2 linked regions of the Diceros bicornis minor genome follow. The protein of the gene in region 2 purifies or fractionates together with the protein of the main gene of each other region. This does not show direct contact. Links are inferred from orthologs where the notes say so. Each region holds a gene or a part of one and is shown on either strand. Other genes may lie near its edges. The genes, in order: RNF7 and ASB2.

Region 1 (8,794 bases), on a different chromosome or scaffold from region 2:
GAGTTTTCATTGTATTTTTGCCTAAATATTTGAATTATGTGACTGTATAATCTATATAAAAATTAAATTAAAAAAAAAAACCCTCCTAAATACTAAGTTCTCTTTTTTCCTTAAGAAAATGTTCCCTTTACAAATAAGTCTGATCCCGAAGCCTTTACCCAACAATGGCTAAGTATTTTAATAAAGTACTTGGGAGTAAACACTAGGAATGAGAACCTAAAGGGTATACTATAAGTTTTCAAAATTCAATCTGTATTACTATTTGCTTGATGAAGGAGGTAACAGAATATTTCAGGGAGCTATGCAATAGATTCATTCACTAGCTGGAAGAGGAATCAAAGTTGGATAAAAGGAAGTTCAAACCAACAGAAAAAAATAGTTTTTAACATAAGTTGGAGAAAAATAATTAGGTAAAAGTAGAGCCACGGTGGAGCTGAAGCCTGCTTCTCCTCTTACCCTGGGTTCTGCTCAGGCATTTGTTTGCTTCTCTCTGCACGCCCTTACCCTAAAAAAACACACCACCCTGGCCTCTTCAGCATGGATGAAAAACAACCACTGCCTCCTGAGGCTTTCTTCAATTCCACAATTACTGAGTATCTATTCTATACAAGGAGTTATGCACTGGGACACCAAAATGGCCAAGTCTGGGTCCCTGGTCTCACCAGCATATGGGGAGGTGGACAGGCAAACAACTAAATAGCCTAAGGATCGTGATCTAACAGTGGAGACATGGCTGGTTCTGTGCAATCACAGAATTCGAGTTTGTGATCCCAACTGCCTCTTTTACAAATTAGGAAAACAAGCCTCCAAAAGGTTACGTCAAATGTCCAAGTTAACATGCAGCCATGTTGGTTACTCTGGCTCTTCAGAACTTGGCAGTGCTAGCAAACCCACTCCCCTCTTCCTCATCAGCACTTGCTCACTGTGCCCTCTGCTCCTTGCAGAACGAAGAGAGGAGAGTGGAAACGGAGGAAGAGAGCGTTAACCACATCAGAATGGGCTGACAGGTAAATCTTGGATCAAGAAGTCATAATAAATCATTTAGGTGTACGAGATGAATTCCAAATATTAAGGAAATGGGATTAAGTGGGCTCTTTCTGTAGAATCTAGAAATCCCTGAATGGTGCTTATGGCTTTGATTTAGATTCATTATCAAAAACTGACTTATATGGAAAAAATACCTAAAGTTTCAGATTAAGGAAAAAGCTTCTTTTGAGGATGTTTCTAATATCCAAAAGAGCACATTTCTAAGGAGTATAGTAACAGTAACACCTTTCAGAATGATGCTAGGGTAAGGGCTGGGGAGTCTGAAAAACAAACTTCCTTCTGCCGTCTGTCACCTGACCACTAAGTGGATTTTAACACCTCATAAACAAAATACAAAGGTCTAGTCCAGAATACTTTCCTGAACCCAAAGTACAGCTGTTGTCCACCTGCAACATTAATCCACAGTAGCAGAACACTTGCTATAATTAGAAAGTTAATGTGAATGTGAGCTATTGACAGCTCATATTTTGACTTACTTTAAATATCCCAGTAAAGTTTATTTGTTGCAAAATTTCAACCATTATTTTAAATTCCGCATTTCTACTTACTATTTTAAAATTTTTCTTTGGAGAGAAAAATAAACATTCTCGCAAGAGACCAAAAGATTAAGTCGCCTGGAAAAGCTAAAAATGCCACCCAAACTGGAAATTATGATTCTAGTTCTTAAGTAAGGGTTGGAGTAAAGGGGCTGTATTGCAGGCCAATAAAGAAGGTGCTTTTAAAACCTAATATGTAAAGTAAGTGGATCATGTTTCAAAGAAATCACGTTCTCTCAAAAGTAGAATAAAAATATTTGAATCCCATTGTTGTAAATTATTTCTGAAACAAGTCCTTATGAATAAAACACAAGAGAGCAAACTAAAGAGAGTGTAAATTGTGGAATCTCTTGATACTGGTAGGTTTAAAATTTCATCCCTCGAGAAGGGAGAGCAATTCTCTTCAAGCTATTTTCTCCAATTCTCTCATTTTTTAGGACAAGACACAAAGTTTAAAAACTACAGAAACCTCAGTTTTCTTCATCTGCCCTCAAGAAAAGGCATTTAGGATGCTCTCACTAGTTTTAAATGCCTTACTTCAAATTATAACTTGCATTTAAACAGCCCGTCTTTTCCAAGGTGATCTGAGATCTTAAAACAGAAACCATATACAACGTAACGAGATGAAGCTGTTCTGAAAGGTTTCCCTTGGTCCAATATTTTTATTCAAAATACCGTAGAAAGAAATAAAACTTATTTGTGAAACAGGGTTCTCCGTCAAGGACCGACGCCGAGCAGGGCAGTATCTTTCTCAGGAAAGATATGATGGGGAGAGGCCGGGAAGAAGTTTCGTGTTTCTAAATAAAGGGCTTCCATTCTTCAATTCCCAGGAAATTTAAACATTCTTGAATCACACTGTACCCCCTTAGCCGAGCGAGTGACATCTGCCGCGTCCTGAATCGTGCGGATTTAAAAGCCAGCAGAACAGCAGGAGCTAATCCAGAAATGCAGCGGCTGGGAAGGCTTTTGCTCCCCGCGCCTCGCAGGAGCGGAACCGAGGTGTGGTTTGCGGGAAGATGACTCGGGGGCATCGCCGGTGTGTGAGCAGAACCATCACCGAGCCCGGCTGACTCAAGGCCTTCACCCCGACCTCTCCGCGGTTTGCTTTCAGAAGGGGCTGCCGGGGCTGGCCACACAAACCGAAGTGGTTCCTCCCAGCTCCCACCAAGCCTCCCAGTTTTATCTTCTTGATCACACCCGTCACTACCTGAAATTATCCTGTTTAACTCCTCTGCCCACTGCCCGTTTCTCTCCACAGAACGCCAGCCCCCGGCGCCGGGCGCCTGTTGAAGCGCAGCCCCCAGGCGGCGGCCGCAGCCTCCCGTCCAGCGTGGTCCCCGGCCCGCTCGCGCCGGGGCAGGAGTCTCTCCGAGGCTTCGTCCGCCCCCCGCCAGGAGCCGGCTCCGCGGAGGCCGCAGCGCGGCCCGGGCCTCGTGTGAGCGCTTACCCATCACCTGGACCCTGCAGATGGCGCACGTATCGCACTCCACGTCCCAGCTCCACATGGCCACCGCGTTCCACTTCTTGAGAGAGAACATTTTGTCGCCTCCCGACTTGGAGCCTGCGCTCCCGGAGTGCGACGACAGGGCGCAGGGCTCCTCGCCGTCTTCCACGTCGGCCATGACGGCGGCGCGGAGCCGGCCGCCGAGACGTTGGGTCGCGGGAGGAGGGCGGCTATGGCGGCTCTGTGGGGCCGCCCGACGGGCCACAGCGCCGCCCGCAGGCCCGCGGGGCCTACGGCAGCGGCTGCCCGCGATTGGCTGGCGCGGCCTAGTGACGTCACCGCACGCCAGCGCCCGGCGCATCCCCGCCCCGCGCGCCGGGGCTGCCCGCAGGGCCTCCTGGCGGCTGCCGGCTGAAGGCCTGAGTCGCCCGCGTGCGGTGTCACTCTGGGGAGAGCGGGCGCACCCTGCGGGGAACGCGTGTCCTGCTTTATGCCTTCGGGAGACTTGCGGCTCTCAGAAATTATCTTGTTAATGTATTCGTTTGCCTCGTCCCTCCCAAATGTAAACTCCATCAGAGCAGCGACCTTGTCTTTATCACTTCCTTATCCTCAGTATCTAAAAAATGCCTTGCCTCACGGGACGCAATTATTTGAGTGAATGTTCTAGAAATCTGGTTGAATGGTTCTCGAACTTTTTGGTCTCAGGACCCCTTAACACTTAAAAATTCTTAGGACCTTAAAGAGTTTTTGTTTATGTAGGATATATATTTAATTTAAAGGAAAATGTAAAATGGGGGAAAAATTTTAAATGTACTCATTCATTTAAAAATAACAGAAATAAACCAATTACAAATTAGCATTAGAGCAGTAACATCACATATCATGTACCTTCTGGAAAACACTATATTCATGAGTGAGAGTGAGAAGAGAGACAGCTCTGAATATTGTTATGCAAATAGTTTTGATTTCATTGGTCCCTTGAAGGAGGGATCTCAGGAACCCTGGGGAGCACACTCTGAGAACCTCTGGTCTAGTTTAACCTCCTCCTTTTATGTGTAGGAGTAATGGGGTCCAGAAAAGTGAGTAACTTAAAGAGCACATTGCTATTAGGTGAAGGTTACAGTTTTGAGGCCAGGGTTCTTCTATTCCTAGCCCGGGGTAATATTACCTATTATATTTTCCCAAGCAAAGCAGACAGCATCTCCATTTAAAAGATAAGAAAACTGACGCACAGAGAGCCTAAGGAGATGCCTGATTACCACCACCACCTAGTGGTGGACACCTGCTGTGTCAGGTTTGGAATTCAGAGCCTCCCACCTCTTCTTGCTGGGCCTCATCATCCCCTCATCTCTTGATGCCAGGCCTTGTGCCTGGAGGTGCTAACCAGGCTCAAGGAGCCTGGCAGAGGAGACAAGGATGCATAAATGTGTTGTTGTTATTAGTGCTGTGGAGTCAATTCTGACTCCTAGTGACACTGTGTACAGCAGAGGGGAACCCTGCCTGGTCTTTTGCGCCATCCTCTCACCTTCCAGCGCTATATCAGACAATGCTCTGCTGCTATTCACAGGGTTTTCATGGCCAGTTTTTTCGTAAGTGGGTGGCAAGGTCCTTCTTCCTAGCATAAATGTGTAAAAATACAAATATGGACACAGGGTCACATTTGACGAGATGATAATGTGTGCTGTTTGTTGAGTGGTGTGTTCAGTGCTGTGAGGGACAGAGACATTGCTGAGAACTGACACAGTGAGCAAAAGCCTCAAGGAAGAGGTGAAGTTTGAACTGCGGGGAGGTGAGAGGCCCTGGAGGCCAGGAAACGAGTGAAGAAAGCAAACCTCTACGAGCTGTCAGCCTGTGCAGAGCAGTGGTAATGGTGGCAGATGTGAATCTGACCACACTAACTTTGTGAGCCAGACAAAAACGCCTATAAACAAACCCAGATGAACCATACAAAACACACATTTTATTCATATTAAGTGACCACACATCTGACTAGAGATGGCTCTACATGCTAGATAGCTCATACAAAAAGAAGGCTGGAACCAGATGAGGATAAAATGCACCCAGCTGGTGGGAACTGGGCAGTTTGAAATAGAAAAGGAGGGAAACTCAGATGAAAGGATGAAAGACTAGAGGATGGTTAAGGAGGAGAAATGGTACATGGCTGGGCCGAGTCTGAGCCTCATCACCCTGCCCCTGGATTATTGTGTCCTGACTTCCTTCCTGTCTCTCCCCCGCAGTCTAACTGGCTTTCAATCTAACGTGCCTGTTTAATTTTCCTATATCCCATTTTCCACCTGGCACTCTCCTGCTCAGAACATTCCACAGCCCCACGTTATTGTCAGAAAAAAATCTAAATGACCCAGTTGGTCATTTAAATCCTGCCACAATATGGCCCCAACCCTACTTTTCTAGCGTCTTCCCCAAGCACCGCTATCCAAGACCCTCATCAAATTGGTCTGCTCAGTCATCCAAACACACCCTGCGGTCTTTTTTTTTTTTCCCCTCACATTTTAACATTTCTGAAATTGCCCTCTGCATTTAGGAAAACTTACACACCTTTGTGTCCTCACCGACCACTCTTTGCCACCATTTATTCATATCCTTCCATGAAATAATAGCACTTACTGTGTCTCTTTTACTCTTTGGCACCAGGTCACATAGCAACCAAAAAATGCTGTTACTGCTGTTTATTGAACAATTTTAAGTTTTTAAAATTGAGAGCTCATAAATGATAAAAACATTAAAATAGTAAAATGGGTATACAATGAAAAAAAGCAAGTACTGTTAATAGACTCTCCAGAAATTCCTATATATGTGCAAGCAGACACTTAATACATCAGCTCATTTTTAAAATTTTTAATTGTGGTAAAATACACATAACATAAAGTCTACCATCCTGACCATTTTTAAGTGTACAGTTCAATGGTATTAAGTACATTCACACTGTTATGCAATCAATCTCCAGAACTTTTTCATCTTCCAAAACTGAAACTCCATACCCATTAAACAACTCTCCATTTCCCTCTCCTCCCCCTGGCATCCACCATTCTACTTTCTGTTTCTCAGTTTGACTACTTTAAATATCCCATATAAGCGGAATCATACAGTATTTGTCTTTTTGTGACTGGTTTATTTCACTTAGCATAATGTCCTCAAGGTTCATCCATGTAGCATATGTCAGAATTTCCTTCCTTTTTAAAGCTGAATAATATTCCATTGTGTGTATATACCATATTTTCCTTATCCATTCATTTAGGTTGCTTCCACCTTTGACTATTGTGAATAACGCTGCTATGAACATGGGTGTACAAATATCTCTTCATGATCCTGCTTTCAATTCTTTTGTGTATATACTCAGAAGTGAAATTGCAGGCCGGCCCCGTGGCTTAGCGGTTAAGCATGCGCTCCACTACTGGCGGCCCGGGTTCGGATCCCGGGCGCGCACCAACGCACCGCTTCTCCGGCCATGCTGAGGCAGCGTCCCACATACAGCAACTAGAAGGACGTGCAACTATGACATACAACTATCTACTGGGGCTTTGGGGCAAAAAAAGGAGGAAGGTTGGCAATAGATGTTAGCTCAGAGCCGGTCTTCCTCAGCAAAAAGAGGAGGATTAGCATGGATGTTAGCTCAGGGCTGATCTTCCTCACAAAAAAAAAAAAGAAGAAGTGAAATTTCTGGCTCATATTACATCAATTCACTTTTAATATGAATTTTTCACATGTACTATTCTCTAGCCTGCTCTTTTTGTTTAATAGTATTACTTTACCTTTCCATATAAGTATTTACATATCTACATTATTCCTCTTGATGGCTGCATAGTATTCCACTACATATATTTTCTGTGATTTATTTCCCTGAGTATCCTCTGAGAGACATTTAGTTGTTTCCAGTGTATAATAAACAGTGCTGCTGTGAACATCCTTATGTATATTTCTTTGCACAGGTGTGAGAGTATATCTGTAAAATAAATTTCTAGAAGTAGAATATCTGGGTCAAAAGCTATGTATTTTTCATTTTGATAGACATTGCGAAAAGACCCCTAAAGAGGCATATAGATTTTACACTCTCATCCAGTAGATGTCAGTGGCAAATTTCAATTTTTTTGGGGGAGTGGAGGGAGGAAGATTGGCCCTGAGTTAACACCTGTGCCCATTTTTTATGTGGGATGCTGCCACAGCATGGCTTGATGAGCGGTGTGTAGGTCCACGCCTGGGTTCCAAACCTGCGAACCCCAGGCCACCAAGCAGGGTGTGTGAACTTAACCAATATGCCATGGGGCTGGCCCCTCAATTTTTTTTTTTAAATCAGGAATAATTTCTCAGGAGGCCTCACACAATGGATATTTAAGTTCTGGAGATTTGTTAAATTGATCTCACTACTCTATAACCTTCCTTACCCTGGTTAATGACATATTATTTCAACTCTTATGCTCCATTGTTGTTTACTTTTAATGTATGAGGATCTTGTCTTCCTTGCTAGATGCTAAGATCCTCAAGAGGAGACATAATTTATTCCACAGTTGGTTTGGTTCCACGAACTTGCCAGCACTTGTTACACCTGTACATAGAATGAATGTTTGTTTTTTTTTAACTTCAAAATGCAGAGGTCTTAAGTCTCCCTTTTTTTATTCTTTTCTATTTTTCTTATGTAGCTGTCCTAAGTGAAATAACTGGAATCACTCAATTCTAACATCAACAATAATAACAGCAGTAGTAAGAGCCACTAACATTCATTTGAGAGCATGTACTAAGAAACAAGTATTGTCCTAAGATGCTTGCCACGTGTCCTCTCATTTAATGTTCACCAAATGAGATAGATGCTTTTTTTTTTTTTTTTTTTTTTTTTGGTGAGGAAGATCAGCCCTGAGCTAACATCTGCCAATCCTCCTCTTTTTGCTGAGGAAGACTGGCCCTGGGCTAATATCCATGCCCATCTCCCTCCACTTTATATGGGACGCCGCCACAGCATGGCTTGACAAGCGGTGAGTCGGTGTGCGCCCGGGATCCAAACCAGCGACCCCCGGGCGGCCGCAGCAGAGTGGGCACACTTAACCACTTGCGCCACCAGGCCGGCCCTCCATAGATGGTATTCTTGTCTGTATCTTACATAAAGGGAAACTGAAGCACAATGAGGTTAATTGACTTGCCCAAAGTTACACACTTGGAAAGCAGCTGGTTTCCACAGAGAATTCTGGTTCATCTAACTCCCCAGTCCACGCTTTTCATTTTCATCCCTGCACCATATTGTCATGGCACATAAAATTCCACTAATCCAATTTATCATCCACACATAGATCAACCTCACTTCTTCCCTTTCTGTCTAACATCTTCATTGGTGGGGGTGGGTAGAGTGATCAGAAGTTTCCTTATTTGGGGAAGATCCCCATTTTGGGGGATATTGTCTTTTAGAAAGTGGTTATTATTTCCAAACATTCCTATTGTTTCCAACTATGGATATATTTATGAAAGAAGAGTCTCTCTTTCTTAGATAAAGATTCTGACTTTCTTCAAATTATAAATTTCACATGTACAAGAGAAGAAGCCCCAAAGAATCCCACCTATTTTTTCTAAGGCCTACTTGTGAAACTCACATTTTAGAAGTTGACAAGCATGATAGGATTAACACTGCTCTGACCTTTCATAAGATAGTTTTATCAAATTTTAGAACTTGAAAGGGGCTTGGTTACAGTGAAAAATATTATTACAGAGCAAGCAATATCTTTCCAGGTATGTGTGGTTGGCCATGGAAATAGATGGCATCCAT
Region 2 (8,629 bases):
TAATCCAGGTCTCTGACTCTCAGTCCAGTGCTCTTCCCCCTTACCCGCTGGCCTGGAGCAGATGCCCTCAAACAGCAGCAGCTCGATGCTGGGCCAGGCACTGGGCACCAGCACTCCGGTCAGCGTAGCACCACATACACTGAGCCCTGCCTTGTGCCAGGTTGGGGGTAGAGTCAGATCTTGGCCCTGGAGAAGCGGAGGGGGTCACTCCTCACTGGGCAGAGCCCTTCCCCCACACTCCCGAAGGCCGACCTGGGCCCACCAGACCCTGCAGGGACCTCAGCCACAGGGAAGCAGGGACGGGGCAGGAAGCCAGGCTGGGCCAGCTGGGTGGGGACCAACCGGCTGCACAGCACCCCCTGCCAGGACGGGAGGGCCAGGGGATGGGCTCTAGACCATCCTGCCATTTAACAGATGGAAAACCCAGGGCCCAAGAGAGGAGAAGAGGTGCTGTGGCTGAGTTGGGACATGAACCCAAGTCTCTTGATTTCCAGCCTTGGGCTCTTTTCATAATAAACAAAACTGAGGTTGGTGCTACTGCTGCTGCTGCAAAAATAATAATAATGATAACACCCCAAACATCAGGCACAAAATGACTTTGAGGTCACAGTGCCCCTTTCCCCTCCCTAAAGTGGAACACAGAGCAGCCGCCAGAGTACTGATCTAGGGCAGTGGTTCTCAACCCGGCTACACACTCACATCGCCGGGGAAGCCTTCAACACAGCAGTGCCTGGGCCTCACCCCTGGAGACTGTGAGCTCATGGTCTTGGGGGGACATGTTTTCAAGACTCTCTGCCAGGCCTGAGAACCATGTGTTAATATGATTTTGACTGCATATAACAGAAAACCCCACTAACAATGACTCAAACCATAAGGATCTTCAGTCTTTACTTAACAAGCAGGCCCTGGTGGGCAGACCCAGCATTGGTTCGGCCGCTCAACAATATAATGAAGGACCCAGAAGACCTATCATTCACTCTGTCAAACTCATTGTATCAACACTGTCCCCCTCATGGTTACAAGATGGCTGCTGCTGCTCCAAGCATCAAGTCCTCCAAGCACAAAGCAGGAGTGTGGGCACAGAGTCACTTCTTCACTGCTTTCTCTTTTATTAGGAAAGGGAAAGTCCTTCTTAGGAGACCCCAGCAGAATTTCCTTTATGTCTCTTCGGACAAAACTACGCTATATGTCCACTCCTAAACTAGTCACTGGCCAAGGGATAAGATTGTCCCAACTGACCATGGGAGAGAGCACACTGTTGCCTGAACAAAGCCAGGTTCTGCTGGCAGAGAAGATGGGGGAAATGGCTGTTGGGTGGGCCATCAAGAGGGTCTGCCACACCCTACCATATGGAGACATTTGGCCACCAGTGCAGTTGACTTTAACTGGGCATTCTCTTTGCATAAGACACTGGCCTTGGTGAAGAGGATCTTGGGTCATGTCCACACATGGACTACTGACCACAGCCCAGAGGGAGAAGTTCTAGCATCGAAACACTTCTTAGAAGAATCTGGGTAGGCTTCCCGGAAGAGGAAGCACTTGCTCTGGGCCTTGAGGGATGAGAAGGAGTTCTAAGAGTGCAGGAGGGAGGGAGATGTGTCAGGCACAGCCCAAGCAAGGGCACTGGAGTGGGAACCGCAGGCGGGTTGGGGGAAACGTGTGTCCCCGCCTTACCTGGAAGTCAGGTGTGTAAAGGAAGAGGGTGAAGGGAGGGCGAAGACTAGATTTCGAAGGGCAAAACCACTGTGGTATTTGGTAAATTGATGGTATTTGCTAAAGGAAAACATACACATTTGTTTAATGGTAACAACTCTCCTTTGCTATTTGCTAGGGCTTCATAGAGCAACAGTTGTTACTCTTAGGGTGGTAACAGGAATTGGAAAAAAGAATATCTACCAAGAGCTCGGTGTCAGGTGCCACCCCTCATCCCCTCCCCCCATGGCTGTCCCGCCTCTATTTGTACTTTATGGCTGGTCATTCTCCAAAGTGGTGGTTCCCGACCACCTGGGGGGCTCTTCAGAGAAGTATGATACCGGCCCCACTCCCAGAGATCCTGACTTAATTGGTCAGAGGTGGGGCCCAAACACTGATACTGTTTAGAGCTGATTTTATACACTTTTTAAGTAGCTATGTTTGCAGTATAGGTGCTCACAGAGAAGTCTACAAGCCAAACTTGAGCAGCTCCTGGGAGTCTCACAAAGGGAACCAACCAGCCGTGTAACGACTTAGTTCAAGAAACACAGCATGGGGACCAGCCCAGTGGTGTGGCGGTTAAGATCGCATGCTCCGCTTTGCTGGCCCAGGGTTTGCCGGTTCGGATCCTGGGCACAGACCGACGCACTGCTTATCAAGCCACGCTGTGGAGGCATCCCATATACAAAATAGAGGAAGGTGGGCACAGATGTTAGCTCAGGACCAATCTTGCTGAGCAAAAAGAGGAAGATTGGCAACGGATGTTAGCTCAGGGCCAAGCTTCCTCACCAAAAAGAGAAGCACAGCATGACCGGCTCCCTGGAATCTCCCTCCTGTCTCCCCTCAAAGGGAACCACTGTTCTGACTTCTATCAGCACAGTTTAGTTTTGCCTGTTCTTGAACTTTGTATAAATGGAATTGAGTATACATGTTCCTCATTATCTGACCTGCTCACTGTGGTTGGTGACATGCATCCTGTTGTGTGTAGTGGCTGTTTGTCACTTTCACTAGAGCATGCTAATCATCCCGTGAATACACCACAACGTAGTCATCCACGAGAGACATTGAGGAGTGTCCGTTTGGGTTTACCATGAATGGCGCCGTTATGATTCTTGAACTTACCCTTTGGTGAGCATATGTACACAATTCTTTTGGGCGTAGAGCTAAGGGTGGGCGCTTGGGTCACAGGGCATGTGCATGTTAGCTTTAGCGAATGCCATTCATTTTCCAAAGCGGTTTTACCGTTTCACACTCCTACCAACGGTGCTGAGCAGTCTGATCGCTCGCATCCTCCCCAGCTCTTTCTAGTTCCCGTCTTTTTCACTTGAGCCGTTCTGGTGGGTGTATAGTGGTATTGCGTGGGGGTCTTAATTTGAATTTCCCCCGGACACTTACGAAGTTAAGCGCCCTTCCATTTGGTTATTGGCCATTTGGATGTCCTCTTTGTGAAGTACTTGGCCGAATCTTTGGGGTATCAGTTAACTAGAGCCACAGGAATGCTACATAAAAAGCACCCCAAATAACCATCTACTCTTGTGCTTTGGGTCTGCAAGACTGCAGACAGGCTAATCGAGGCCAGCCCAGGCTGCTCTGCTCAGCTTCGGGCTGCAGGCCCTGCCGGGTGGGGCTCCTCTGTGCAAGCTGGACTCTGTGAACTGCCCCAGGGGGGTTTACTCCGGGGTGCAGCTAAAGGGCAGTGGCTGCAGGAGGAGCTCTGCTCTGGCGATGACGGGAAAGCCAGCCCCACTGCACAAGCCCATGTCAAGTGGCTGCTTTGTCATGTCCACCAACAGTTACCGGCCGGAGCAAGTCACAAGGCCAAGTCTAATCTCAGTGAGTAAGGGGGCGGGGCACTCTGCCTCCAGGGGGAAGGGGTGAATATTTGCCGAACAAACCAAATTATAGCACTGACATTTTGGATATATATATATATTTTTTGGTGAGGAAGATTAGCCCTAAGCTAACATCTGTTGCCAATCCTCCTCTTTTTGCTGAGGAAGACTGACCCTGGGCTAACATCCGTGCCCATCTTCCTCTACTGTATATGGGACGCCGCCACAGCATGGCTTGATGAGTGGTGCATAGGTCCGCACCCAGGATCCGAACCTGCAAACCCTGGGCCACCAAAGTGGAGCATGCAAACTTGACCACTACACCACTGGGCCAGACCCACATTTTGGATATTTTTAAAAAGACCTCATATGATTGTAATGTTCAGCCAGGGCTAAGAACCATTGACCTATAGTCACATCATGTGTCAGCTTAGTTGAGGAAAAGAAAATCAGGCTTAGTTGATTTCCTAAGAGCAGTTGATTCAACCAAAGTCCGTTTCTCCTTGAGGCATTTTTTTTTTTTTTCCAGAAGAGAGTCCCTGGAATTAACATGGCAAATTATTTTAATAATTGATTTTAACTAGGTCATGCAATCTTAAGTAGCGGGCCTGTGTCCGATTCATCTCTAGTATTCTCAGCCCTAGGACAGTGCAGAGAAATGGAGAAGTGCCGGGACAGATGGGATGTTGTCGGATAATTAGAAGGGAGGAATGTAAGCACCATTGTGTAAGCTCCAGGAGGGCAGAGATTTTTGTCTGTTGGGATCATTGTTGTATCATAGCGCTTGGAAGAGTGCCTGACACAAAATAGGTGCTCAATAAATAATCTCTCATTTAATGATGCATGCATACACGTATAGATAGGCCGTGTGGATTGGAAAAATGAATTGTGGATGGTTTGTTGGATAGATAAATGTATAGATGGATGGATGGGAGGATGGGTGGATAAATGGAAGCATAGATGGGCAGATAGATCAGAGGATGGATAATGGAGGAATGGGTGGATGGTTAGATGATAGATACGTGAGTGGCTGGCTAGGAGCGTGGATGGTTGAATGGATGGATGATTAGATAGTTGGATAAATGGATGGATAAGTGGACAGATGGGAGGGTGGATGGATATATGAGTGGCTGGATAGACAGACGGATGCATGGGAGGATGAATAAATGGACAGATGGGTGGCTGGTTGGATGGATGGTTAGATAGGTGGGTGGACTGGTGAATAGATGAGTGGATGGGTGGATGGATATGTAGATGAATGGGTGGTTGACTTGATCATATGACAAAATAAATGGATAAAAAATGATTGCGTGATTGCCAGAAGAGAGCACAGCCTTCCCCGTGGGTAAACATAGCTATGTTGCAAAACTGTTAGTGACCAGGATGGTTTTGGTCTCCTCACAGGGTTTTCTGATTTGCAGTTTCCTCCTCCCCTCTGAGTGTCTCTCCTGGAGGCTGGGCTGAGAAGTGGAGGAGGATGGCCACTGAGATCCGTGCTCGGGGCGGACAGCGTACCATTGGGCACGAGGAGTACAGCCTGTACAGCAGCCTGAGTGAGGATGAGCTGGTCCAGATGGCCATCGAGCAGAGCCTGGATGACAAGACTCGGGGCCCTGCCACTGCTGAAGCCACTGTGTCCACACGTGCCAATCGCCAACCTGCCCATTTCTACCCATGGACCAGGTGAGCGAGGAGAAACCAGCTGGGTCATCCATCAGGTGCAGATCCCAAACACTGTTAATCCAAGGCCAAATTATCGTGATCTCTAGGCTGCACTTTAACACCTTAATGACTTACATTTGTTATCTGAACGTACTGAGCTCTGATGGTGCCAAGTGCTGTGTGCTAATCCTGTTAAGGACCTTCTAGGAGGCTCTATGCTATATTCCCATTTTACAGATGAGGAAACTGAAGCTCAGGGCTGAGTAACTAGTTCAAGGTCACACAGCTAGTAGATGGTGTTGCAGAGATTGGAACTATCTGGGTCCAAAGCCCGTGGCTTGGCCTGCACAGCTGACTCAATGTTTGAATACAGTAAAACCAATGTTCTGAGTCTGACCAGAGCTTCCAACCCCGTCTATGCAGCCTCTCTGGGACAACACATCTGAGAAGCAAACGACAGCTACCCAGCAGAGCCATCCTGCCTCCTTGTTCTGGCTCCCCCATCTCAGCATGACCATCCCAGATGCAGGACCATCTAGAGCAGCACCACGTCGCGCCAATAGAAATACGGCGTGAGCCACAACTGCGGCGACACTTATGCAGCTGTGAACATCCTAGTAGCCACATTACAAAGTAAAGAGGAAGAGGGGAAATTAATTTGTGTCTAAAATATTATCATTTCCACACATCACCGATATAAAAATTGTGAAGGAGATTTTCACATTCTTTTTTACATGTCAAGGCTTTGGAATCCACTGTGTATTTTGCACTCACAGCGCCTCTCCATTCAGACTAGCCACATCTCAAGGGCTCACTAGCCATATGTGGCCAGTGGCTGCCGTACTGGACAGCACAGACCTAGAGGACACCTTCTCTGTAGGAGGTGGAGCCAGAGAGGTAATTAGGTCTTGGATCTTAAAATGCTTTTAGAAAAGAAATATACACATTTTAAAAATGTTTCTGCTCACCAGTGAGTCCAAGTCAAGTGTGTATTTTGGGGTTGGTGGAAGGGGCTTGGGAATTGCTGTGACAGTTGTGTTGGTGTTACCTTGGGGCATGGGCCTCAAATCTCATTGTCTCCAGCAGCCAGCTGACTCCCTGTGTGACCTTGGGCAAGTCACTTAACCTCTCTGAATCTCAGCTTCCTTCTCTAATAATAATAATAGTAACAACAGCAGCAACAATAAATAGACTTTTTCCAATGTCCAGTCCCAGTTGACAGGGATGAAGGTGGGTGACAGTCCGTCTCAGCCCTGATGAAACCTACCAGGGCGCTTCCCAGGTGACTTTGGCCCTTACTGAGGCTGGACCACCTCTGCCGGGCAGGCTGGGCAAAGGCCTGGGAGGCCCAGCCCTGAGGAGCTCCTTCTAAAGGGGAAGGCAGGCAGCCTCCTCGGGCAGCTGGAGGGAGTGTGAGGCTCCAGGTTACTGAGCTGCCCCAGAGGACGCCCCATTCTGCGACCCAACCAGAAAAACAGGAGCCCAGAGCCGAGGACTCCTCATGGGGGTGCTCTCGGAGGCCTTGGTTCCTGTTCTGGCCAGTTCAGCCAGAGTCAGACCACAGGTTCCCCTTTCTCAGTAGGGCATCAGATAGAGAGAGAGCACCCTCCCACCTACTGGGCCTGCAGCACAAGCCGGCACGTCCCGGGGCGTCTGCAGCCTTCTCCCCAGCATGGGGGCCCCACCCAGGTGTCCCAGGGACACTTAACATCCTTAGAACTGAAGGGGCTCTTGAGGTTGGGTCCTGACCCCCTCCTTCCTCTAGAGGGTAGGGAAGCAGAGACCCACTGTGGGACATAAACGTTCACCCAGTCTCCTAAAAAAAAAGCTCTCACAGAGGGGCTGGCCCGGTGGCGCAGCGGTTAAGTTCACACTTTCCGCTTTGGTGGCCTGGGGCTTGCGGGTTCAGATCCTGGGTGTGGGCCTACTCACCGCTCATCGAGCCAGGCTGAGGCGGTGTCCCACATAGAAGAACTAGAAGGACGTACAACTAGGATATACAACTATGTACTAGGGGCTTTGGGGAGGAAAAAAACCTCTCACAGAGAAGTGAAATGACTTAGCCAAGGTCAAGTGGCCCTCACCTAAGATCCAGGCACAAGTAATGTAGGGGAGAAGGATTCGGCCTTCATCTCACCCTTGATGTGACCTCAAACCTCCTAGGTTTGGTTCTGCCCCTTTGTCTCTGGAAGGAGGCTGGGCTTGGGCCCTGCTGGGGAAGTAAATCCCTTTACTCTGATTTTTGTGTGTGCTTGTGTGAGGAGGACTAGCCCTGAGCTAACATCTGATGCCAGTCCTCCTCTTTTTGCTGAGGAAGATTGGCCCTGGGCTAACACCTGTGCCCATCTTCCTCTACTTTATGTGAGACGCCGCCACAGCATGGCTTGACAGGTGGTGCGTTGGTGCGCACCTGGGATCCAAACCTGCGAACCCCGGGCCTCCAAAGCAGAGTGCACACACTTAACCGGTGCACCACCGGGCGGGCCCCCATTACTCTGACTTTTAACGTAATTCTCCTCCTCCTGCCCTGAATGCACACTGAGTGCTTCCCACGTGCCTGGCACACAGCCATTCAGTGATCCTTACGAAAGCCACACAAGCTGGATATTTCTGTGCCCGCTTTACATATGACAAAACATGCGCACAGTAGGACCAGGAACTGAACCACAGTCTGGCCTGATCTGAAGTTCAGACGTGTCACCAGCTCTGCCGATTCTGCAAAAGCCTCTTCTGTTTCCTCTCCCTCCTCCACCTTGAAGTGGGGTCGGTCTCACTACACCCGCCTCCCACCCACAGAGACTCAGGGTCCCCAGAGACATGAGACACACAGGCTTGTGCCTGACACCAGACAGGGCATCACAGTACGTGCAGGACCCGACAGAGTCCTTGTTTGCTTCTATCCCTGAATGTCACAGTTTCCATCCAAATAGACTCAGAGCAGGTGTAGGAACAGGATGTCACACATGTCCCCAGAGGTCCCACATGGTTGGCTCCTTCTCATCCTTCAGGTCTCAGATGAACTGTCACCTCTGCAGCAAACCCTGCCTGACCACCCTCCCAGGTCAAGTAGGTCGCCCCTCTTATCCCTCTCTGGGCTGTTTGCTTCACCACCCTGACTACGACTTACAATTTCTATGTATTTGTTTCTGCCATTAACCTGTGACCTCCTTGAGGGCAGGGGCCTCACCATCTTCCCTCCTGTGAAGCCTCGTGTCTAGCACACAGTGCCTGACCCATGGCAACACCCAGTAGCTGTCTGTGAGCGAATGAATGGGTGAATAAAGGAATGAGCGAAGAGGCAGCAGAGGAGAGTGGAAAGAGAAGTGGGTTTGGAGGTTCGAATCCTTCCTCTGTCACTTACTGGCTGTGTGACCTTAGGCAAGTTACTTAACCTTTCTGAGCCCCAAGAGCCTTATCCCTAAAATGGCAATAACAGAAACGTG

The links.
Region 1: the proteins of ASB2 (region 2) and RNF7 purify together in Homo sapiens (affinity purification with western blotting; 3 studies listed by BioGRID and IntAct, with this or other methods). This does not show direct contact. The link is inferred for Diceros bicornis minor from reciprocal best matches to the Homo sapiens genes ASB2 and RNF7.

What each region holds. Positions count from the first base shown.
Region 1 is NC_080741.1:11,971,991-11,980,784, forward strand, and holds the start of RNF7 (RING-box protein 2), read right to left. Parts: upstream 3,241-8,794; 5' UTR 3,206-3,240; coding exon 3,031-3,205; intron 1-3,030. UniProt on the Homo sapiens protein: Catalytic component of multiple cullin-5-RING E3 ubiquitin-protein ligase complexes (ECS complexes), which mediate the ubiquitination and subsequent proteasomal degradation of target proteins.
Region 2 is NC_080763.1:39,509,313-39,517,941, reverse strand, and holds the start of ASB2 (ankyrin repeat and SOCS box protein 2), read left to right. Parts: upstream 1-5,001; coding exon 5,002-5,207; intron 5,208-8,629. UniProt on the Homo sapiens protein: Substrate-recognition component of a SCF-like ECS (Elongin-Cullin-SOCS-box protein) E3 ubiquitin-protein ligase complex which mediates the ubiquitination and subsequent proteasomal degradation of target proteins.